4 linked regions of the Canis lupus familiaris genome follow. The protein of the gene in region 4 binds, or shares a complex with, the protein of the main gene of each other region. Links are inferred from orthologs where the notes say so. Each region holds a gene or a part of one and is shown on either strand. Other genes may lie near its edges.

Region 1 (5,641 bases), on a different chromosome or scaffold from region 4:
AGGAGGGATTTCTAAAAAAAAAAAAACAAAAAAACAAAAAACACTGCAGGGTAGCCCCAGTGGCCCAGCAGTTTAGTGCCACCTTCAGCCCAGGGCATGATCCTGGAGAACCAGGATCAAGTCCCATGTCAGGCTCCCTGCATGGAGCCTGCTTCTCCCTCTGCCTATGTCTCTGTCTCTCGTGAATAAATAAATAAATAAATCTTAACAAAACAAAACAACAAAACCAAACACTGAAGTAAAAGTTATATATGGGGATCCCTGGATGGCGCAGCGGTTTAGCGCCTGCCTTTGGCCCAGGGCGCGATCTTGGAGACCCGGGATCGAATCCCCGTCGGGCTCCCGGTGCATGGAGCCTGCTTCTCCCTCTGCCTATGTCTCTGCCTCTCTCTCTCTCTCTCTGTGACTATCATAAATAAATAAAAATTTAAAAAAAAAAAAAACCAAAAATAAAAAAATAAAAGTTATATATGAAAAATTGCAGATTTTCCAAAACTAAGACACCATGGGAAAAGAAACAAATGACAAAGAGAGTATTTGTGTTTAAGACCAACAGGGAACAGCTACCAGAATATAAAAGAAATGTCTGCAAACTAACAAGTGAATTATGGGAACCCCAAAAGAAAAACGGCAAAGGAAAAACCCTACAAACCATGAACACAAGAAATGTTCAAACTTTTTAATAACTAGAGGAATGTAAATTGAACCAACAGTTTAATGAAAATGAAGCCACTTAACAGGATAGTGCCAAGTTTAGGTGTGTGGAGGAGATACAAGAACCCTCATGCACTGATGATGGCACTGTAGATTTACAGAGCAATTTTGGAAAATAATTTGGCAGTGCTTAATCATATCAGGAATACCTTATGAATAGATATTAACTGGTAATCCCACTCCTGGGTGTATACCCTAGAAAGACACTCACCAAGAAATATAAAAGAATATGAAAGTAGTAGTCTAGGAGGCAATATAGGTGTTTGTTACTAGGTGAATTAAGTAAAACGTAGTGGATTCCATACATGATAGAACACTATCCAGGAATTTGAATCAGTAGACTAGGTGACTACACAGCCATAGCCACACAGATATGAATGTATCTTAAAAAACAAACAAAAAAACAAAAAAACAAAAAAAAAAAACACAGTACTTAGAGAAAAAAAGTGAGAACTAAAGTAAGGCTATGGCCTCACTACCAATTACATAAAAACATTGTATTCCAAACAACACTACATGGTTTACAAGGACAAAGACAAAAAATACATATCAAGCACATTAGAATAGCTGCTTACAGGAGTTGGGGTAAAAGCAATAAAAGGGAATAAATAAAAATTAGCAGGAACTTGTACAACCTGGAATGATAATATGCCTTAAATAAAGCTGGTTTTGTTTATTTTTTAAAAAGTGGAATTATAGAATGTCAGAGTTAGAAGGAACCAGAGATTCCTTAGATTTACCAATTTCAAGTATGGAAACGTTTGTCTCATTGCATAGATCAGAACAGACACCTAGTCACTTAAACAGTGACTATTCAAAGTTATGAGTAACTTTCTGGCATAAGAGGTAGCAGAATTCAAATCTCCCAATTTTCAATCTAATGATACCTGTTTTAGCATACTTCCTTTTAAACAATTTACTGAAATAAAATTAGTGTCTTAAAAAAAAGGGGAGGAGTATATTTCTTTGCATTATAACCACTGTTTTGGATGATCAAGAGTTTTGATACAGTTAATTAAGAGCTTATATCAGGGGATCCCTGGGTGGCGCAGCGGTTTGGTGCCTGCCTTTGGCCCAGGGCGCGATCCTGGAGACCCGGGATCGAATCCCACATCGGGCTCCCGGTGCATGGAGCCTGCTTCTCCCTCTGCCTGTGTCTCTGCCTCTCTCTCTCTCTCTCTCTCTCTGTGACTATCATAAATAAATAAAAATTTAAAAAAAAAAAAAAAAAAAAAAAAAAAAAGAGCTTATATCAGGATGCCTGGGTGGCTCAGTGGTTGAGCATCTGCCTTCAGCTCAGGATGTGATCCCAGTCCCAGGATCGAGTCCCACATCGGGTTCCCTGCATGCAGCCTGCTTCTCCCTCTGCCTGTGTCTCTGCCTCTCTCTCTGTGTCTCTCATGAATAAATAAATAAAATCTTTAAAAAATTTTTAATTAAAAAAAGAGCTTATATCACCAACAGCTTAAAGGAAAAGGAGAAATCTTCCACATGACAGAGCCTAAAAATTAATCCCCTCTCTCATATCACTCTGCCTCTACAAAACACTCACCATGCTCTTCAAGATATGCCTGGAGCCTGTTGATGAGATCTTGTTTTATTCCCTTGGTCTCCAAACCACGAGCAAGACATTCCTGCTTTAGTTCAGCAAGCTGAGAAAAAAAGAATAAAGCTTTTCCTTAGTTAACAGAATGAACCCGATGATTAAATAAATAAGGTAGTTCTCACAAGAAAAAAAAGTTCAATTCCCAAACTACCACTCTTAAACCCACTAAATCTCCAGATCCACAAAGATGGGCCACTTCTCTCTAATAATATTCAATATGCAAGAGGACTTTTCTAAAAGATGGTGAAGAATAAACTTACTTTAATGAAATTCCTATTCATGCAACTATTTATTATTACAAATTCCTAGCTATTTCTGAGGGGCAGCACCTCCCCCCATTACTGTACCAGCTAGCATACAGAAAAAAAATTTTTTTTAAATCAACCTTTAAGTAGAAAACTTAAGTATCTAAAAGTAGATTCTTCTTACTTTTTTTTTTTTAATATTTTATTTATTTATTCATGATAGACACAGAGAGAGAGAGAGGCAGAGACAGAGGCAGAGGGAGAAGCAGGCTCCATGCAGGGAGCCTGATGTGGGACTTGATCCAGGGTCTCCAGGATCACGCCCTGGGATGCAGGCGGCGCTAAACCGCTGAGCCACTGGGGCTGCCCAGATTCTTCTTACTTTTATCTCTTACTGCAATCTACTATTTACATGCATACAAGTCTGACCCTGAAGAATTAGGCAGATGTGTTATCTAGTTTAATGTCAATATGAATCGATTAAAGGATCTATGTCAAAATGGAAAGAATATCCAATGGCATGCTATCAAGTTCTATGTAAGAGTTCTAAATCAGTAACTTGACTAAACATGAAATAGGTATGCTTATCAACTCTGTGAATAACAGAAGGAGGAAGGAAGACCTGATGGATTACTGAGAGAACTAAGTGGCAGGGAGGACAAGAAGGGGAGGCTCTTCAGAGAACAATGAGCCAAAAAGAAGATTCAATTTGGAAGGACCAGGTATCCCTATAAAGCATTACTTTATTTTTTTTTTAAGATTTTATTTATTCATGAGAGACACACAGAAGCAGAGAGAGAAGCAGGCACCTCACAGGGAGCCCTGATGTGGGACTTGATCCCCGGACCCGGGATCACGCCCTGTGCCAAACACAGGTGCTCAACCACTGAGCCACCCAGGCATCCCTAAAGTATTTCATTTAGATTCAAAACTTAAATTGTTTAAAAACCAGATGAGCAAGATCAGACTCAACAGTAACGCAAAGGTTGAAGACCTCAGGATTTTAGATAATTACAAGTACAAAGAGGGTTAATGGTATGATTTGCTACCAAAGTAATTCTGGGTTATGGTAACTGAAAAATAATCTATTCTAAATGATTGATTCTTATTTTAAGAAGCATAATGACATGCTGATCCAAGGAGAACAAGCAGGAAAAGAAAGGTTTTAGAAATCCAATATGCAAATCAGTGCACAAATAGATTGGCACTGAAAGAAGACTTCAATGGCTTTGAAGTACAGATCTAAGATCAACCAGGAGAGGTCAGAAGGCAGATCCCTACAGAAGAAAGAATTTTACAATTAAGGGAATATGCTAGGCATCTCTGGAAGGCTTTCAACCAAGGGAGCATTTGAAAATGGAGAGGGGAGCTTCCCCCCCCGCAACACAATGACTGAGCGGGTGGAGCATTCAGTGAGGTCAGGTAAGCAGGGATACTCTGCGGAGGGAGAACTCTCCTACCCAAAAAAACCAACAGCACTCCTTTTGAGAAACATGGTAGATAAATCACTCACTAAAAGCACAAAATGTCCTCTTCTAAAGTCCCCTGGGTTCAAATTTCAGCTTTACCACTTACAGCTGTGTAACCTTGGATGACTAACTTAACCTCTCTGTGCCTCAGTTTCCTATGAAATGCAACAGTATCTATACCATGGGATTATTGGGATGATTAAATAAGTAAATATTTGTAAAGCATTTACAACAGTGCTTGGCAGCTGGTAAGCACTTCATAAGTGTTAGACACTGGGTGAAGGATTAGACAATATTAGAATCTCTGCTTCTCAGATTTCGGAATTTCACAGATCAATATATTTTTAATTAGGCAGACTGATGGGGCTGCCAACTTTTTAATATTTCAGCCAGATGGACTAATACTTTCAATACTTTTATAAAAAAATAAAAACCAATTACTATAAAAATCATCACACATTTGGATGTAGCAGTGACACCAAACTGCTATAAAAGTTTCTAAATGCTAAAAAAAAAAAAAAAAAAAAAAAAAAAAAAAAAAAGTTTCTAAATGCTTACTCAGTATTTTTTTTAACTTACCGCTAACCATTCATGACCCAGCACTGGCTTGCAGACCATACCCTGAATACTATTAACCTAGAATCTAAACTCTAAGTGATCTCTAAGGTCCATTTCTTAAGAACCTGGATCTTTCCCACATTGGTACTTTGTTCTTTCATTTTCTTTCAGCTTCCTGGAGAACAAGGCTTGTGATTTAGGTTACACTTTAAAAAGTTTTGCTGGGGCACCTGAGTGGCTCAGTCAGTTGAGCACCCAATTCTTCTGACTGTTGGTTTGGGCTCAGGTCATGATCTCGGGTCGTGGGATTAGGCACTATGTAGGACTCAGCACTAGGGCATACTGCTAAGCCTGGGGTTGGCTTAGGAGTCTTTCCCCCACCCTCTCCCTCTGCTTGTCCCATTGCACACTCATGCTCTCTCCTTCTAAAGTAAATAAAATCTTTTAAAAAGATATTTTCTTGGTTTATTATAAAAGTGTTATGCTTACTGTAGAATAGTTTGAAAATTCTGAAAAATACAGAAGAAAATAAGTCTTATGTAACCCCAGCACTTAACACTTAAAATATAACACTATATATAGTCATTTAACACTTTAAATATATCATTAGTGTGTGTGTGTTTAGAAGGTGCTTGTTGTTTACAGAGCAATACAACTTTTTTTTTTTTTTTTTAAGTTTTTTGGTTTTTGGCAGAGAGAGGCAGAGACACAGGCAGCGGGAGAGGCAGGCTCCCTGCAGGGATCCAGGATCTCTAGGGTCTCCAGGATCATACCCCAGGCTGAAGGCGGTGCTAAACTGCTGAGCCACCAGGGCTGCCCAGCAATACAACTTTACTCGTTTCTTATAACCCCAATCTTCCGCAGAAGCCTCCATTCCTTACCCCTTCCTGGTTTAAATTAACACTTTGGTAAATATTTCGGCAATTCAAACCTCAACTCTCTAACAGAATTGTTCCTCCCTTCCTTTTTCTTCCCCCAAATTATGCCTAGATATAGGCAAGACCTGCAAACAAACAAACAAACAAACAAACAAAAACCTCACAGTTGAC
Region 2 (5,641 bases), on a different chromosome or scaffold from region 4:
AATCCTAGCCTAGCTATACTTCTGGCTATTGTATCTAACTTCTCTGAGCCTTAATTTTCTCAGTTCGTGGCTATAATAATGGTATGGCTCTCATAGGGTTGTTGTGAAAGTTAAACATGAATTTGAAAGAAACAATTTTTTATAATTTTAAGCATCAGCTCATTTGGTCTTCACCACCCACTGGGCAGCTACCATTTGTCAAGGCAGAATTACACAGATGCAGAAAGTGGGGCTCAGAGCAGTGACATAAATTTCCAGATGTTTAGGAATTGATGGGGCAGGAACTCAGATCTGGGACTAGACTACAGAGTCCAAGTTCTGTCCAGTGCCCTGCCTCCCCAGTTAAATGTGACCATGCTGGCCAGATGCTAGGTGTAGTACAGAACAGAGAATAAGCCCTTAGAGCCACTGTTTCCAGGATAATTATGGGCTTCTGGATCAGAACCTTTAAGACAGTTGGCAGAAGGTATTTTGTGGCTTTAGGCCCTAGATTGGGATTGGGCATTTGTGTAAGCCTAAAAGAGAGGCGTTCACTGTAGTCTCGGGTGGCGCTTGTCCCAAAAATCTGCACTTGGGTTTTTTTTTCTCAGTAAACAATGGAAAAAAGACTTAAGTTTGCTACCTTGTTCCTCTTCATCTAAAGAAAGGGCTTTTGCCCTCCTAACTCCCAGTCAGTAAGTTCCTGTGACAAAGGCAGAAGAAATGTAGTCCTAGAGATAGCCTGTTTATGTAGCTTAGCTCCTTCTCTCAGCAGCTGTCATATGAAGCTTTTTCTTGCTCACAGATAAGACGTTGTCTGTGGCAATTGAAGGCAGTGTGGATGAAGCCAAGGCTTTATTTAAGCCTCCTGAAGACTCCCAAGGTAATTTAGTTGGTATCCTCTCCCAAGTCTTCCATAGCTGATTCTAGGAGCACTGGGTCATCACCCAAGGGCATAGTGCTAGTCCTTTGGAAATTAGCTGTACTGGTTCTGAGTATGAGAGAGCTTGACTTTAATGACTTAATGCTCAAGGGTAGACAGAGAGAAACCCTGCTTGTGGATTTCATCCCTGTCACTCACTAGCTCACTGGTCCTGGGAAAGCTCCTTGACATTTCTGAGACTCAGTTTACTCACCTGTCAAAACAAGATAGTAATACCTCATATAGACTATCGTGGATTAAGTTTGGTCATGTGTGCAAAGTCTTTAGCATCATTCTGGGCTCATAGCAACTCCTCAAATTGCATGAGCTGCTACTGTTGTTATTATTTATATAACTGTTGCTGCAGCCACCACCATTACCAGTGGAGGGGCTTGTGGTCCATAGGATGACATTAAAAAGTATTTTCAGAAATGAGGGGTTGGGGTGGAATTATCAGGCATTTCTCTGTTTTTTCCTTGCATCACCGTGTCTTCCATACTGAATAAGCAGCAGCAAATTCATTTATTATGTATTCTAAAGAAACCCATTTACAAATGACACAGAGTCTTGGCCCCTTTATGCTTCGTGGGTTGAGGCACTTTAGGGAGCATTGGGACCCCCCTCCCCATCTCTAGATGCTTTTTTGTGGTTGCAGATGATGAGAGCGACTCGGATGCTGAGGAGGAGCAGACTACGGTGAGAGCCGTGTCCCCCACGAGTATGCTAAGCAACTGCCTGCTAGTTGGCAGGTGCCATTCTCCCCAGAAGCAGAAGAGAAAGGTTGGAAAGAAAGGGCTGCTGGGGGCCTGGCAGCCAGATACCTGAAGCAGCAGGTCCCAGGCAGCAGTACCGTGGCCCTGACCTGTAGGGAGAAGGAAGGGGAGATTCATGTGACCGGTGCTTATCTGCTTTGATCTTTCCTTTGTCCAGAAACGCCGGCGACCCACACTGGGAGTTCAGTTGGATGACAAACGCAAGGAGATGCTGAAGAGGCACCCGCTATCAGTCATGCTGGACCTGAAATGCAAAGGTCTGGTTTTCCTTGTTCTGGGGGACCCCATAGCATCTAAAAGTTTGGCTAGCTGCAGGTGTACAAAGTCCAGCAAACCAAAGTCCTCTTTGACCAAGAAAAGATTCTAGTTTCATATTTCTGTTTTTCCTCATTGTTTTGCTTAGAGTTTGTTTCATTTTTTTGAAGTCGTAACCATAACAACAAAACCAGGCACATAATGAATGATTGGTAGAATTACACCAATTTCTGAATTTGTTAAGTCAGATACACAGAACAAGTTGCAAGAGTATGCAGGTTTTAGTTTAGTTTTGTTTTTTTTTTTTTTTTTTTAAGATTTTATTTATTTATTTGAGAGAACGATAGCACAGGCCAGGGGGAGGGTCAGAGGGAACAGGAGAAGCAGGCTCCCCGCTGAGCAGGGAACCCAGTGTGGAGCTTGATCCCAGGACACTGAGATCATGACCTGAGCCAAAGGCAGATACTTAACTGACTAAGCCATTCAGGCACCTTGAGTATGTATATTTTTGAGTAATATGACCATTGTGCTTAATATAACAGACATAAGTAGAGGTTTGTATTCTGTAGAGAATATATGTTTTTTTTTTTTTTTTTTTTTTTGATAGAGAATATATGTTTTGAAACTAGTTTTGTATGGATAAAAAAGCAAATGATAAAGCATTCTAGGAGTATAAGAGTTAACAGTTACATGCTAGTTTTTCTCTCACCTGAGACTCTCAGACTCTGATCCTTGGTCTTACCTCCAAGGACAACCATTATGACACATTTCTTATGTATTTTCTAGAACTCTTCTATGCATTGAGAAGCTTTTATACAAGTGTGTATTCTCTTTTCCTTTTAGTTTTTATACAAATGGAAACATACTGTACACACTGGTCCTCTCTATACTTTTTTTAAAAACTTATTATTTTTAGGTAATTTTAGACTCCATAATAGAGTTCTCATGCTCTTCACCCAGCTTCTCCTGATTGTCAGCATTTTACCTAACCACAGTACAATGATCCACAGTACAATGACTGAGATTATGGATTTTGGGGAGGAATACCATAGATGTGTCATCATCACATCACATCAAATCAGGGGTAAATGGTGTCACTGTGTCTTATTACTGGTTACGCAGACCTGGATCCACTTGGTGATCACTTGAGATTACTTGAGCAAAGGCCTCTGGGCTGGGAGTCTGGAGCTTGTTAGAAGGAGCTAAGTCCAGCCCACACTCAAGAGGAAGGAAATAAAGTTCCCCCTGTTGGAGAGAGGAGTTACTAAGAATTTGTAGACATTCTTCTTTTTTTAAATCAATATAAAATTGACGTTGAGTTTTGTTTTTATAGTAAAAGTTTTTAAAGGCCTTGCTGACTTTTCTGTTCCATTACACCATAAACTGTTCTCATGTTCACCTTGTACTTGCTTTTCTTTTCCTCCTCCCCCTCCAGATGACAGTGTACTTCACTTGACTTTCTACTACCTCATGAACCTCAACATCATGACAGTAAAAGCCAAAGTGACGACCGCCACGGAGCTGATCACCCCCATCAGTGCAGGGTATTGGGCAAGCGCTATGAAAAGTGGGGGTGGCTGTGAGAAGAGCCTCAGTGTGGGCTGCTCCTGGTTCCTCACGCTCTGAGGAGGTGCATGACTATGTTGATTTCTGTTGTCACATCCACATGGCCTAGAAGTCTTGGCGCATAACTGATATTTAGGAAGCACTTACTGACTTTAGTTGGTCCTTTTACTACATAGTAGATGATAAAATGACTACAGTGTATGGCAAATTGAGTAGGCAGGGCAGAGCACTGTTTTTATAAACAGTGGAAAGGCATGAATGGAGTTTGGCAGACATTATTAGGTTGACAAATTTAAATTTAGGCCATCCTCTTCCTTTACCTTTTCTCTCCCAAGGTGCTGGGATTTTTGTTCCACAGCTCAACTGGTACCAGGTTGTCCTTACCTGGTGGTGAGAAGAGGTTTTGAGGAAAGTGAGCAGAGGCATAGTAATCATTGCCACAGGTCGAGTATCCCCAGGAAGCCCCTGACTGTGGTGGTCTTGTTCCACAGCTAGGAATAGGAAGAAGGCAAGCGGACCCAAGAGAGCCTGGATGTTAAATAGCCTCACTTACAAGAGCACTAGCCTGGCCTAGCAGTCCTGCACACTGAGTCCTCGAGTTGGCTGTCCAAAGACCACTGAGTGTGGCAGGAGTCTAGCTCCTGCTGGGTTGTGGCTCTTCCTGTGGCGGCTACCTGATGGTGTGGTGTCCTTGGGTTTTCTACCCTGTACTTAGCGTTCACATCCCCTTCAGGCTGCAGTCTCAGTCCCTGTGTTTGAGAGTGGTGTTTGGTCACCTTTGGGTACTCGGGATGAATTGACCCTGTTCTCACCTGGCCCCAGCAGAGGGAGCCCAGGGCTGGCTTCTTCGGGCTACACTGCCCAGCCAGAGCTCTCTATCTAGGAGCTTGAGGCAGTGGTGGAGCTTCTACATTGTGCAATGATGGGAGCAGTGCTGCTGACTGCTTACCAGCTGGACTCAGAACCCCTGTGTGTCCCCAGTCTGCCACTTACAGCTGTGGGTGCACCTACTGAGTTTCCTGTCCACTGAGTCTGCTTTCTCGCTCTGGTCATTAATTGTGATATCCCCTTTGAGGGTGTTCATGAAGGATCGGGTTCAGTGCTTAGTGTAGGTGAAGCACTTGGTAAATAACAGTTGTGTTTATCATCATGAATTTGCTTAACTCTTCACAACAATTTTATAAGGGGAGGAAACTGAGGCCTGTGTACCTCTGTACTGTATGCCTGTCATTGAGAGGTGGGCTGTGGCCCCAGAAGAGAACCAGGATTATAGCAATTGCATCTTTATGGGCCTTCAGGTATGTCTAGTTCATCCCCCTCTTTTCCAGATGGAGAAACTGAAGTTCAAAGGGTATATGATCAATTATGGAAGCCCCTAGCCTAGGGCTCCAGACTCCCAGCCCAGAGGCCTTTGCTCAAGTACCTCTGCTTTGGCCCCTGGAGATACCAGCCTGGTATATGGTTCTATTTGTTTATCCACTAAACATAAGGATACTTTTTTCTCCCTAGTATAATCACAGTCTCACACTAATTCTTTAATATCATCCAATATCCAGTCAGAGTTCTGATTTCCCTGATTTTCTCACAACTGTTTGTTTTTACGTTGGGTTTTGTTTTTTTTTGTTTTTTTTTTCTTTTTTTGTTTTTTTTTCTTTTTTTTAATTTTTATTTATTTACTTATGATAGAGAGAGAGAGAGAGAGAGAGGCAGAGACACAGGCAGAGGGAGAAGCAGGCTCCATGCATCGGGAGCCTGATATGGGATTCGATCCCGGGTCTCCAGGATCACGCCCTGGGCCAAAGGCAGGCGCCAAACCGCTGCGCCACCCAGGGATCCCTTACGTTGGGTTTTGAATCTGGATCTCTGTAAGGTCCAGATGTTACAATCGGGTGAAGCTTCTCTCAAGCTTCTTTTCATCTGAATGTTGCTGCCATGTGTTTATTTGTTGAGGGGAATGGGTTGTTTGTATGTTTCTCCAGTCTGGATTTTGATTGCATCCCTACAGTGCAATTTAATGAGTAATAGAATCTTTCATGTAAAATTTTAGTCAGATTTAGAGGCTTGATCAGATTTGGTTTTTTGTTTGGTTTGGGTTGGGTTGGGTTGGGTTGGGTTTTTTGTAGGGGACAGGAGCAGGACAGTATCA
Region 3 (5,641 bases), on a different chromosome or scaffold from region 4:
TAAATGAGGGAGTGGGGATGGACTTAGCCCCAGGGATAAGTAGTTCCAAGTGACCTTCGGTTATTTTAGATGGTGAACTATAAGATGGGCTCTGGGTAGAGGTCTTATTTGCCTGGCTGGATAGGACAGTGATCCAGAGGAAGCATGGACTAGACTTTGACAACTAGAATATAATTATGTGTGCAGTATTTGTAGACAGTTGGGGTGTGGGGAGAAAGTAGGGAGAAGGGCCTTGTAAAGCATCTCTCAAGGGTCTTAGGTTTGTGAGCCTCTGCAGTAGACTTCATCTCCATATCATACTTGTGAGATTTGGAGTTTCATTATCTTCTTGCCTGGCTAAAACACATAGTGCTGAAATTTGGTTCTAGGTCTTTATTTGAAATTTTCCATGTGTTACTGCAATGGATGTGATTTTACGGTGGTTCGTGTAAATAGAGTACCTGAGACAAATCTTTGTGGGAAATGGCTCTTGCTTACCTGTTTCCAGCAGTTTCACCTCACTGGGGAGGCTGTCTCCGGTCTTTGTCTATGACATTTCCTTCTTTCCTTCTAGGATTTTTTTCCTTTTTCTTGTAGACATGCGTCGGGATGTCCAGGAAATTTTTCGCATGACCCCCCATGAGAAGCAGGTCATGATGTTCAGTGCTACCTTGAGCAAAGAGATCCGTCCTGTCTGCCGCAAGTTCATGCAAGACGTAAATACCCTTCTACCTTCTCTCCCTCCACTCCCCGCCCACTGCCTCCTCCCCTTCTGCGCCCTCTTCCTCCAGACTCCCTTGTCCTTCAAATGCCAAGAAGGGGGCACGTGCCCATCTGGGAGTGATGACTCCTTGAAGAGACACACAGAGGCAGAGACAGCTAGTGTTAGGGTCTGCGCGGGTGCCAGGGAAACTCCGGAAGACTTGGTCGGGTTAACTTGAGAGCGGGTAGTGTTCGACCTTTTTTTTTTTTTTTTTTTCATCACAGCATTTTTGAACCTCTTCTTCCTTTTTGGGGGAGGGCAGGATTTTCTGCCCTACTACCCACCCATCGTCTCCTACATACCCCTTTACAGCCACGCACCCTCAAGGTGGCATGGAGCAGACAGTTGGAGCCTTCTGCTCCCCAAAACTCAACCCCCCGGTGGCAGGAGAGCAAGAGAGGGACAGACAGATGGCAGGGCATGTCCAAAAGAAGAGCAAACAGCACAAATGAATCCGCTCCCTCCCCACCTCCAGGGGTGGGGGCCTTTGGCACCTCAGTCCCCGATCCCTTACTCCTTCCGTCCATACCTCCTCGCACCCATCCGGAATCTCGGCTGATGTGAGCCGGCAGCGGAGAAGCACCATGGAACGGCGGGGGAAATGCAGACGGCACCCAGCGGTGGATGGCGGCAGCGGAGGCCGCGGGGAAACCTGACCAGGAAGCTGAGGACCAAACCAGCCTCTTTTTCTGTTCCCGGTTTTTTTCCTGAATCCAAGGCGTGCCGTGCTCCCTGTTTTTCCCCATATGTGTTGGGGGGAGGGGTGTCCTGAAACGGGGGGTAGTTTTTTTTCTTTTTTAAAACAATTTTTTAATACTCCAAGGAGAGGGATATGGGAAAAGTAATGTGAGGAGCTCCACTTGGATGTAACCAGGTGGGTGTTAGGGTTTGGCACTAGACGGGCCCTATTGTATAAACAGTGCAGTGTATTCTTTCTTATCCTGTACTGCTCCTTCCCGTGGGATGTCAGTTACCTTTAGTTATACTTGGGGCTAGATTTGAAGGAGGCCATGAAGCTTCATTTTGAAAAGCCTGCTTTTGCAAGCCTGCTTTCTGGGATTGGGCTTCTGGTTCTCTCCCGTGCCACTCATCCTTTCCTGAAACCTTGGGCCCTGGGTGTTCATGTTAATTATGTCCCCAGGTTAGTGAAGAGTGCTAGGAAACTTGGACTCAGGAGTTGAGTCTTGTGTCAGTTTGTTTTTTTTTTGCTATCTTCCTCCCCTTAAAGGGTTTTATGTGTGCGTGCGTGTGTGTATGTGTGTGTATATACATATATACATATATATGTGTGTGTATATATATATATATATACATATATATATTACAAGATGGTTGTATATCTGCTGCTCTGAATTTGTTTCTTAACACCATTTATTGGTACTGTCCATGTAACACTAGTTGATTTGACTCCTAGTTCAGAGACCAGTGCCATCTGAACTATTCCCTTGTGGTCTGAGGGCGAGTTATTACTCATCCTGAGTAACTTTTCATGGTATTTTTGACTATGTTCATTTTAGCATTCTGATCTTGACAGATAATCCACCCTCCTGATGTGGATCTGATTCTCTTAGTTGTTTGGTTTTTTCCTTAATATTTTATGTATTGATTTGAGAGAGAGCAAGCACAAGCAGGTGGAGGAGCAGAGGGAGAGGGAGAAGCAGATCCCCACTGAGGAGGGAGCCTGACTCGGAGCTTGATCCTAGGACCCTGAGATTATGACCTGAGCCGAAGGCAGACGCCTAACCGATTGAGCCACCCAGGTGCCCCCTGATTCTCTTAGTTGGGAGAATACTCAAATGAAGCAATCCCTGTCTTCCCCTCTATTTTTACAACCAATAGTGGTGGAATTCCTGACCTCGAGTCACCATGTCCACCAATTCCCAGGTGTTTGGATTACATTTTCCCTTTGGGGATCCTCTCCCATTGTTTTCTTTCCTCTGCTACCTCCTTTTGAGGTCATGGCATCTTGCCATTGGGTGGTCTCACTGCTCCTTTTCAAACTCCTTGCCAGGTTACCTTCCCGTGATACTTGGGCAATCTTAAAACAACTGCTAGGAAGGAAATTAGAGCTAACGTGGAAGAGACCACATTAAAATGAGGATATTTTTGGGGGTGTGGTGGGGTTTTCAGTCTTCTCTTTTCCCATCCCCCAATGGGGTGTTTTGGAGATCAAGTTCCTCCACCCCCCCAGGTTTAACCCCCCCACTCTGCCCTCCTCCCGTTCCCCCCCTACTCCCCCCTCCCTCCCCCAGCCAATGGAGATCTTCGTGGATGATGAGACGAAGCTGACGCTGCATGGGTTGCAGCAGTACTACGTGAAACTGAAGGACAACGAGAAGAACCGGAAGCTCTTTGACCTTCTCGATGTCCTTGAGTTCAATCAGGTCAGTTGTTCAAAGTCCAGTAGGGGGATGAGCACGTCTCCAACTGTAGCAGAAACCTGGTTAAGTACCTTTTTGTTGAGGATATGACATAGGTGATGTGAGCGAGAACAGTGGGGAAATTACCTTCAAATGAAATTCTTTTAAATGAGAATTTAAGTGCCTTTGGTGCTGAGTGTGAACAAGATGGGAGCTGCTGTTCTGTTCTTTGGCTGTCACAGCCAGGTATTGAGTAAAGAAAAATCTCAAAATCCTTGAGAGGATTTCATAAACTTGTAAAAGTTCCAAAATATCTTGGGTTTCTTGGGTTTTTAAAATTTGTTTTTTCTTGTACTGTTTACTGAGAAGAAATGTTCCATACTTTACCTGCTGTGGTTCGTTTGCACCAAAAACTTTCTAAAATTAAGGTAAATTGCATATGTTTGATGTTTTTGATGAGCAGAAACTACTCTCCACACTTTAAATTTTTTTTTTCCACACTTTAAATTTTTACCACTTTCATTTTTACCATTAGCTTCATCCTTGTCTCCCTAACATATCTGGTAGTTTTAGTTACTTTTCTCTGTATCTTCTCTTCAGCATGTCTGCTCAGGAAAAATCAGAACTGAGTGAGAAAGGCTAAGTTGTATTTAGAACAGAAGAGGAATATGTAATGGGGATTGGAGAAGTTTCAGGAAGAGTAAAAGAGTAGTTACTGAAAACTCTTCTCACACTTAATCTCTCACTTATCCCACATGGACCCATGTCCCCCAACTGTCACACACCCAGGTGGTGATCTTTGTGAAGTCTGTGCAGCGTTGCATTGCCCTCGCCCAGCTGCTGGTAGAGCAGAACTTCCCAGCCATTGCCATCCACCGAGGGATGCCCCAGGAGGAGAGGTAAGTCAGAAATGGAAAGATGTTTTGTGTCCTTGGGAAGGAAAAGAGACCGTTGAAGCGAAGGGACTCAGTATTTTTCTAATTTCCTTTCTCACGAAGGCTTTCTCGGTATCAGCAGTTTAAAGATTTTCAACGACGAATTCTTGTGGCTACCAACCTATTTGGCCGAGGCATGGACATTGAGCGGGTGAACATTGCCTTCAACTATGACATGCCTGAGGATTCTGACACTTACCTGCATCGGGTAAGCTCCACACCCACACGTGCATTCCAGTGTCCCCTCCCCCTGATTTTGTATCTTCATACCTGATAGCCTCTCCCTTCTTTTTGGATGTCTTCCTACTTCGGGATCTCCCAGGACTATCCTCTGTCTCCTTCCAGGTGGCCCGAGCAGGCCGGTTTGGCACCAAGGGCTTGGCCATCACATTTGTATCAGATGAAAATGATGCCAAGATCCTCAATGATGTGCAGGATCGCTTTGAAGTCAATATTAGTGAGCTGCCAGATGAGATAGACATTTCCTCTTACAGTGAGTATGGATCTTAAGAAACTGGCTCAACTCTTCAGTCTCCTTGTTCCTTAGTGTGTTTGTCTTAAATCCCATCATGTACACAAAGAGCCTCTAGTGTGTAACAGGCACTTAATTATGTCCTTTGGATCTTGATGCCCCTGCTGGGATGTTTAGTTGATCTGTATGTCTCTTTTCTTAACAAGCTAGTTTATTTTTCCCTACCCCCAGTCTATCCTTTGCACCCACAAACTACAGACATCTGCATGTAGTGGGGGGTGGGGGCATGTTTTCTGCCAGCCTTGCCTTTTCCATGTCTTGTAATTGTGCCATGTTTTCTCTCCAGTTGAACAGACGCGGTAGAGGACTTACCCACCCATTTTGGAATGTGACAGTCTGTCCCTCTTCAGGAGACGACAGTAGACATGGGGTGAAGGAGACACTACTGCCACCTACCCGTGACAACCCCCACCCCCCACCCCATGGCTTCCCCCTTTTGCATCACCACCACTCCTGAATCCCTGTTTCCTGAATTGTCGGAAATTTTTTTTTTTTTTTTAACAAAACTAAAAAACACATGCGTCTGTGGTGTCTGTAAGTGCTCCATGCCTTTATTGGGTTTGGGGTGAGATTAGGTCATGATTCAGTGTATATTCATTCTTATAAGGACTGTGTGCCCTGCTGTGGGGCTCAGGTCAGTTGGGAGGGATCAGAGGGGGGGAGGGGGATGTGACTAAGACTGCAGAAGCCATTGCTCCTTGCTACTTCAATTTCTGCCCTTTGTGAAAGTGTCTTCCCTTTTTTTTTTTTTTTTTTTTTCAGTGGCCTAGGAGGGGCTGGGATGTTTCTGACCCAAAGGCCCCAGTGTGGGTGGTGTGTAGTGTTTCCAGTGTTGGAAGGTAAAATGGGAACTGATGGAAAGTTTAGGCGTCTCCTAGGCTCTCCCGGTGTCTCCTCATCTGTTCCTTCAGCTTCTGGATCTTGAGCACCAGGGCCTGGGCTTCCCAAGCCCCTTCTTGCCCTTCCAGAAGAGCCTGGTACAGCTCCAGCTGCTGCTCCAGCAACTCCTCAGCTTGGGCCAGCTCAGCTGTGGGGCGGGGCCTGGGACCCTGAATGAGGGGGGCAGAGGGGA
Region 4 (6,148 bases):
GCGCGATCCTGGAGACCCGGGATCGAATCCCACATCGGGCTCCCGGCGCATGGAGCCTGCTTCTCCCTCTGCCTGTGTCTCTGCCTCTCTTTCTCTCTGTAACTATCATAAATAAATAAAAATTTTTAAAAAAATTAAAAAATAAAATAAAAAAATAAAATAAAATAAAAACCTCCTCAGTTACACTAGCCACATTTTGAGTGTCACACATGGCTGGCTGGTAGCTACCAAATTTGGAGAGCAGATAAGAATATTCCCTTCACCGCGCAAAGTTCTATCAGACACCTCTGCTCCAGAGGCTACTTTCTGCCCAGCCTGTATTTAAAGCTTCTTCTAGAAAGGTCCCTTGGAATGATCTGCCATAGATTTATCTTTAGCAATTTAGAACTGCCTCTCTTGGAAAATGGTGGGGCCCTTTTTACCGCTTTCCTGGGTCAGGGACAAATACAGGAACTCCAAGGCTTAAGGTAGCTGAAGCAGAAGGCCCTGTTTATTTTTGGTCAGTGAGCCCAACAGTTCAGGGTGGGGGTGGGATGGTGTTATATTTAACCGCTGAATTTATGCACAGCCATGCAGTGCTACCAGTTAAAGTCCTTACAGTTGCATGGCATCGCCCTCCAGACGCCCAGCCACAGCTTGGACATATCCTTCCACAGCCACTGTCCGGACTTGCATATAAAGTCTATGAATAATAAAGAGCAGGTTTTATTTCAAGTCTGAATAGGATTATCTCCTACTGGAAGTTTGAAAAATAACCTACTAATTCTTAATTATTCAGTGCTCTCATTCTATTTTACTGACAAAACTTTAGGTGCTGTGGAGATGAGGGTCACCTTACTCTTTCTCTATTTTAGCACTGAAAATCCTTGACTAAGGCTGTTCAGACTTCCTATGCTCAAGGAAGAAACAAGAAAATGATTTCCCTCATGTGTAAGTCACTCAATAGGGAATAAAGCATTTTTTGAAAGTCATCTAAAACAGACACCAACATTTCTTTGTGGGAAAATCCAGTCAATTTACTTTAAGGGCAAAGGATCAGAAAGAAAGAGATTAATACTCATTGATAACACAGAAACAGGCCACTGATGGCAAACTACCTAAAAGAGAAAGACAATGAAAGTTACTTATTGGTACCTGCCAAAATGGGAATTCTCTGAACTTCTCTTTCCTCCAGAGAAGTTTCTGCTTTTGCCCTGAGCCACCTTACAATCATCCATCACGTCCTGACAGCCTCAGTTGGACTGCCTGACAGAGATCACCAGCTGCTTCTGGAGCATTAAGACTCATCTTCTCACCTGCTTAAGTTTTAATGCTGCCTGGACAGAGGGTCTATTCTCCATCTGCTGGGCCAGTCTTCTGTTTCTGGCACTGGCTAGCTGCTGTTGTTGCTGCATCGAAGCCCGAATATTCACTGGCATCGGCTGTTTGTTCTTCAGCATATTAGTAAAGCTTCAAGGTCGAACAGAATGGATGTTTAAATAAAAGCTTTATTACAAAACATTTATTGGCATTTTCATGGCTTGCTAGACCAGGAGCTCCAGATCCCACGAACTTTAAGTAAATGTGGTACACTTAGATCAAGGCTGATGTGGGTTAAAGACTCCTCGGCTTCCACAAACTTGCAAGAATCAGAAACTCAGAAACGCAGCTAAGTGCAGCAGCACATTCAATCAAAAGTGATAACAAGGGCTCAGGGTAACGGCTTTTAGAGAGGTGGGAGGTATGAAAAACACGCAATAAGCAGATATGAGGACAACAAAAGACAGAAAACGTAGTTTCAAAGACAAACAAAGAAAGCCAAACTCTTGGGGGAATTGGAGGGTGGCTGTAAGGGCGAATGTAGGGAAGGACCAGAGCACCTTCACAGCCCATGGTAGTAGTACACCCATGTAAGTCATCAGAGTAGATCTCACTTTCTTCATCTATTTGTTCGTTCAGGTACATAGAAGCATGAAAAATCAGTATATCATAGTGTAAGAGATAAGAAGCAGTACATATGCTTCAGAAAAGGCAAAAGCAAACATCAAGTCAATCTTCTGGATCTTTTGTGGTCTAACATCAACTAAATAAAATCACTGGTCAAAGGCGCTCAATAAAGAGCTTTTGGCACCCTAACTTTTTTTAGTCTGATGATTACTTTTCCTGACTGCATGTGATTATTTCTGAGAAAATCAGATTACTTTAATCACTTAAAAGCTTGTGAAGACACTCCTCTGTTACTCCTGTCAAAGTATGTTTAATTGTACAAAAAAGAACACTTAACTGTAAAAGAATCTAACACAAAAACAAACTAAAAGCAGAATTCAAAGAAAGAGAAATGGAGCAAAGCAAGTGCCTCTTACAAGGCCCAAGAATGGCATTCAAGGGCCTTTGGACATATCCACAGCTTGCTGCCTGCCTCTTACAGGCCAGACACAACACTGCTGGCCTTGGACTGAGCAGCAAGCCTCCTGCAGCCGAGGTACCATGCTACCGAGCTGCACCACCCCTGTATCAATGTAAAAAAATGTGAAGAAGAGGGAGGGTGTGAGGAGTCTTTTTAAAATACATCCCACCAGCTAAATATTTCAGACAGCTTAACATAAAAATCTACTGATAAGGGGTTTTGAAACAACCGCCCAATTTGTTTCGTGTACCACATCAGATGCAACTAAAAACAGAGGTCTGTAGCCTTCTGTTGGTATTTACAACTGGTTTTTGTGCATCGGACCCCAGGGCCAAGTTAAGTAATGTTTTCTTATGAACGAGCTGAAGTTGCTGTTGGCTGCCTCACCGCTCATTTAGAGACATCTTGGTGGTGCTTTTTAGCACAACTTTCGGCGCTGACTGTGCAGCCATCTTCAAATCCCGAGAATCTACAAAGGACAGTAAGAGGATAAACCGAGTCAGACCAAGGACCCCCTCGTCTCAAGGGCAGCGAGGGCCCGACAGGCAGGACAACGGACGACCTGTCTCGAGGACCGACGCTCGCCCTGAACACCGCTCCGGGGGCTCCAGTCCCCACACACTTACGGCCAATCCGGGCCTGGAGGCCACCGCCCGACCCCCAACGCGACAGAGCGGACTGGTCTTAACCCGGACCGGCCCTCGTCAGCCGGGGCCGCGAGGAGCCTCCGCACACACACGAGGGTCCGAAGGCCCTCACTGGCCCCGGCGGAAGGAGGACCCACGGGGCGCCCCCCTCAACGCTCCCCATCCGGACGTTGGTTTCCGCCGCCCGCTCCCCTCCCCGACGCCGCCCCCCCACCGCCGGCTCCGCCCCCCCGGGGCCCGCCGCCCCGCCACTCCCCCCACGCTACGGAAACGCACCGAAGGAAACGGACGCCAGTGCGCCTCCCGGGGCTGCCACCACGGCTGCGGCGCGCGGGCCGGGGCCCGGCGGAACCTGACTTGACTTGGTGGGCGGTTGGTTAGAGATGTAAGCGGTAGGTTGCTAGGTTAGCTCGTTGTTGCCGGCCGGCTGCCTGGTCGGCCGGGTCCGCCTGCTTGCCCGGCCTGCCCTTTCCTGCCTTGTGTCGGTGCCACCACAGCCGCCGCCGCCGCCTCCCGCTCGGTGTCCAAAACAAAATGGCCGCCACGCCCAGAGCCGACTGGGACCGGCTAAAATGGCGTCGACGCAATTGCGTCAGACGTCAGATCCGCGCACAGCTAGGGGGCGAGACGTTGAACGCTACGCCTGCGCGAGGCTTGGGGCGGAGCCCTGGAGAGTAGGCGGGGTCCGGGCCACTACTCGCCCCGCCCACTGAGGGGCGTGGTTAGCGCGCGCCGGCCCGGCTCGCGGAGACCCGCGCGGGGGCGGGGGAGACAGCCGTTGCTCTGTCTTCGCGGCGCCTCGGCCTGGCTCAGGGCGGCCGTCCGCAGCTCTGCGCGCGGGGTGTGCCCCCTGCCCCTGGCCGAGCAGCACCTGCTGCTGTCTCCGAGCCCCGAGCCCGGGAGAGCCAGGGACGCCCGGGCTTCTGTTTCTGTTCCTCGTCTTGAATATTGTTAAACCCCTGTGGGCGTTGTGTCCGTGTTCCCCTGATGATGCCCTCCCCATCCGCCAGTCTGTGCACCTCCATGCACACCGACTCGGGACTTTCCCTGGGCCTGGGTGCACAGTAGGAACACGCCGGGGTTGGGCAAATGAGGCACAGGCGCTTCTTTGACTCTTCTGCGCGCAAGTGCATCAGGGTCTTTTGTTTCCCTCCCAGCACCTGCACGTGTGTGATGGTCTGCCATCCTTACTGAACTTCACCGCTCCTTCACAACGTCTAGCGCACGGTAGGTCCTCAGTAAATATTCTCTGCAGACTGAAGGGGAATTCTGGCTTTGTAGCTGAGAAGCTGAAGTCTCCTACATTTGCAGCTGGAACTTCGAATGCCTACCTTCCTGGGCCTTGAGCATTCCTCAGCCAGGAAGATGTAATGTCCCCTTGACCTCTCTCACAATAAGATCCTTTACCAAATAAGGTGACTTGGGAGTGAGGAACCTTGACTTTCCCACTCACTTCCAGACCCCAAAGGAGACAGACAGCAGCTGGCCAGAGAAGAGCCTTTAATGAAAGATGAGTTGCAGGCCTGGCCCACTACTCTTGCGCCCTTGGTGGAGGGTGGGCAAGGGTAGGAGTGTAGGGAGGGAAGCAGGGGGATGGGGAAGGACGCTGGCCACTGGGGGTGTCTGCTCAACTGTTTTCCCAGAAGAAGTTGTTACAGGCCACTGTGAGGGCAGCCACCAGCACCACATACTCCTGGAAGTCCACCTCCCCATCTCCATTCTCATCTAGCTCTTTCATCACCTTGTCCACAGCATCCGCATCCTTCTGGGCCTGTGGAGGGAGGAGATGGAGAGGTGGGTACATTGGGAGATAGATAGTATGGAATTGGGCTAGGGAGGTGGGTGATTGGGAGGAAGGAGGGAGAACTACATCTAATTATGGGACTGTTCTGAATCCTCTTTAACACTTGGGCAGCCCAGGTGGCTCAGCGGTTTAGCGCTGCCTTCAGTCCAGGGCCTGATCCTGGAGTCCAGGGATCAAGTCCCGCGTAGGGCTCCCTGCATGGAGCCTGCTTCTCCCTCTGCCTGTGTCTCTGCCTTTCTCTCTGTGTGTCTCTCATGAATAAATAAATAAAATCTTAAAAAAAAAACAACAAAAAACAACTAACACTTGTGGCCTTCTGTTACCCACCAAATAAGCTCCTTAACAAGGCAGAGTAATAACAACATTGATGACCGTATGGTGAGTGCTTATATAAGAGTAGTACACTCGAAGCTTTACAAGCATTGTCTTGTAAAATTGTTAATTCTAGCACAAATGCTAGAGGAATAAACAAATTAACAGTTGGTGGTTAAATAATGTGCCCAACTCACACAGCTGGAAGGTGACAGGATCAGAACCGAAACCCCAGGACTGATAAAACCTCGAAGCTGGTGCACTTACTACACTTACTACTGGCTTCTGTATCATAGAGCCCCTGTCAGCATTTGCAGCCTACTTTTCTGCATCTTTCATTCGGGTCAAAACTACTGAGCGTGCTCCATATTTTTTTTTCATGCTTTTGTTTATGCAGATACCTCCTAAAATGCCTACATTTACCCTAATAATATTCCAAAGGAAATCCACAGCTCAAGTGCCCCGTCTTTGGAGAAGCCCCGTTCAGTCAGGTTACTATTGTCCCATAATCCTTTCGGGCAATTCTGTTAATGCTCTGTGTAGCTCCTAAGTGGCTGGCCGGAGACTTCATGGGGAGGGGGTCTAATTGCTTCCGAGTTTCCTGCCAGCAGACTGGGGGCCTCTTTTGGTCCTTCAACTGCTCTGTCCTCAATAGTTCACTTCCCAGTGTTCATGGTTTACTTTCATGTCAGTCTTTCCCTCCTAGACTGTGAGCCTTCTTAATGATGCATCTGCACAGGTTCTAGCACTTAACAGGAGATGAACAAATTAGGGTATTTTTGTCTTGAAACAAGATAAGTATGGGAGCCCAGAAAAATCCAGGAGAGAAGTCTGGCAGAGGAAGAAGATGATTGGAGTGGGTTGGGGGTGGGGTGGGAAGGTGGCAGAGAGGTCCCCAGGTGTTCCTCCTCCCCTCACCCATACCACCCTGTACGCCTGCCCTGTGCTCACGTCCAGGAAGCCGGAGAGCTCAGTCTGCAGCAGCTCCTTTAGCTCCTT

The links.
Region 1: CHTOP (region 4) and SARNP share a complex: the UniProt entries of both Homo sapiens proteins name them as parts of the transcription/export (TREX) complex. The link is inferred for Canis lupus familiaris from reciprocal best matches to the Homo sapiens genes CHTOP and SARNP.
Region 2: CHTOP (region 4) and THOC5 share a complex: the UniProt entries of both Homo sapiens proteins name them as parts of the transcription/export (TREX) complex. The link is inferred for Canis lupus familiaris from reciprocal best matches to the Homo sapiens genes CHTOP and THOC5.
Region 3: CHTOP (region 4) and DDX39B share a complex: the UniProt entries of both Homo sapiens proteins name them as parts of the transcription/export (TREX) complex. The link is inferred for Canis lupus familiaris from reciprocal best matches to the Homo sapiens genes CHTOP and DDX39B.

What each region holds. Positions count from the first base shown.
Region 1 is NC_049231.1:540,671-546,311, forward strand, and holds part of SARNP (SAP domain-containing ribonucleoprotein), read right to left. Parts: intron 2,367-5,641; coding exon 2,267-2,366; intron 1-2,266. UniProt on the Homo sapiens protein: Binds both single-stranded and double-stranded DNA with higher affinity for the single-stranded form. Specifically binds to scaffold/matrix attachment region DNA. Also binds single-stranded RNA. Enhances RNA unwinding activity of DDX39A.
Region 2 is NC_049247.1:23,169,958-23,175,598, reverse strand, and holds part of THOC5 (THO complex subunit 5 homolog), read left to right. Parts: intron 1-784; coding exon 785-862; intron 863-1,556; coding exon 1,557-1,597; intron 1,598-1,831; coding exon 1,832-1,931; intron 1,932-3,364; coding exon 3,365-3,473; intron 3,474-5,641. UniProt on the Homo sapiens protein: Component of the THO subcomplex of the TREX complex which is thought to couple mRNA transcription, processing and nuclear export, and which specifically associates with spliced mRNA and not with unspliced pre-mRNA.
Region 3 is NC_049233.1:1,170,435-1,176,075, reverse strand, and holds the end of DDX39B (spliceosome RNA helicase DDX39B), read left to right. Parts: intron 1-576; coding exon 577-695; intron 696-2,994; coding exon 2,995-3,126; intron 3,127-3,891; coding exon 3,892-4,001; intron 4,002-4,100; coding exon 4,101-4,245; intron 4,246-4,382; coding exon 4,383-4,530; intron 4,531-4,855; coding exon 4,856-4,872; downstream 4,873-5,641. Other genes in the region: MCCD1 (mitochondrial coiled-coil domain protein 1), read right to left, coding at 5,433-5,618. UniProt on the Homo sapiens protein: Involved in nuclear export of spliced and unspliced mRNA. Component of the TREX complex which is thought to couple mRNA transcription, processing and nuclear export, and specifically associates with spliced mRNA and not with unspliced pre-mRNA.
Region 4 is NC_049228.1:43,413,446-43,419,593, forward strand, and holds the start of CHTOP (chromatin target of PRMT1 protein), read right to left. Parts: upstream 3,711-6,148; 5' UTR 3,310-3,710; intron 3,184-3,309; exon of another isoform or gene 3,013-3,183; intron 2,856-3,012; 5' UTR 2,839-2,855; coding exon 2,774-2,838; intron 1,450-2,773; coding exon 1,296-1,449; intron 683-1,295; coding exon 599-682; intron 1-598. Other genes in the region: S100A1 (protein S100-A1), read right to left, coding at 4,661-4,804, 6,101-6,148; S100A13 (protein S100-A13), read left to right, coding at 4,820-4,827. UniProt on the Homo sapiens protein: Plays an important role in the ligand-dependent activation of estrogen receptor target genes. May play a role in the silencing of fetal globin genes.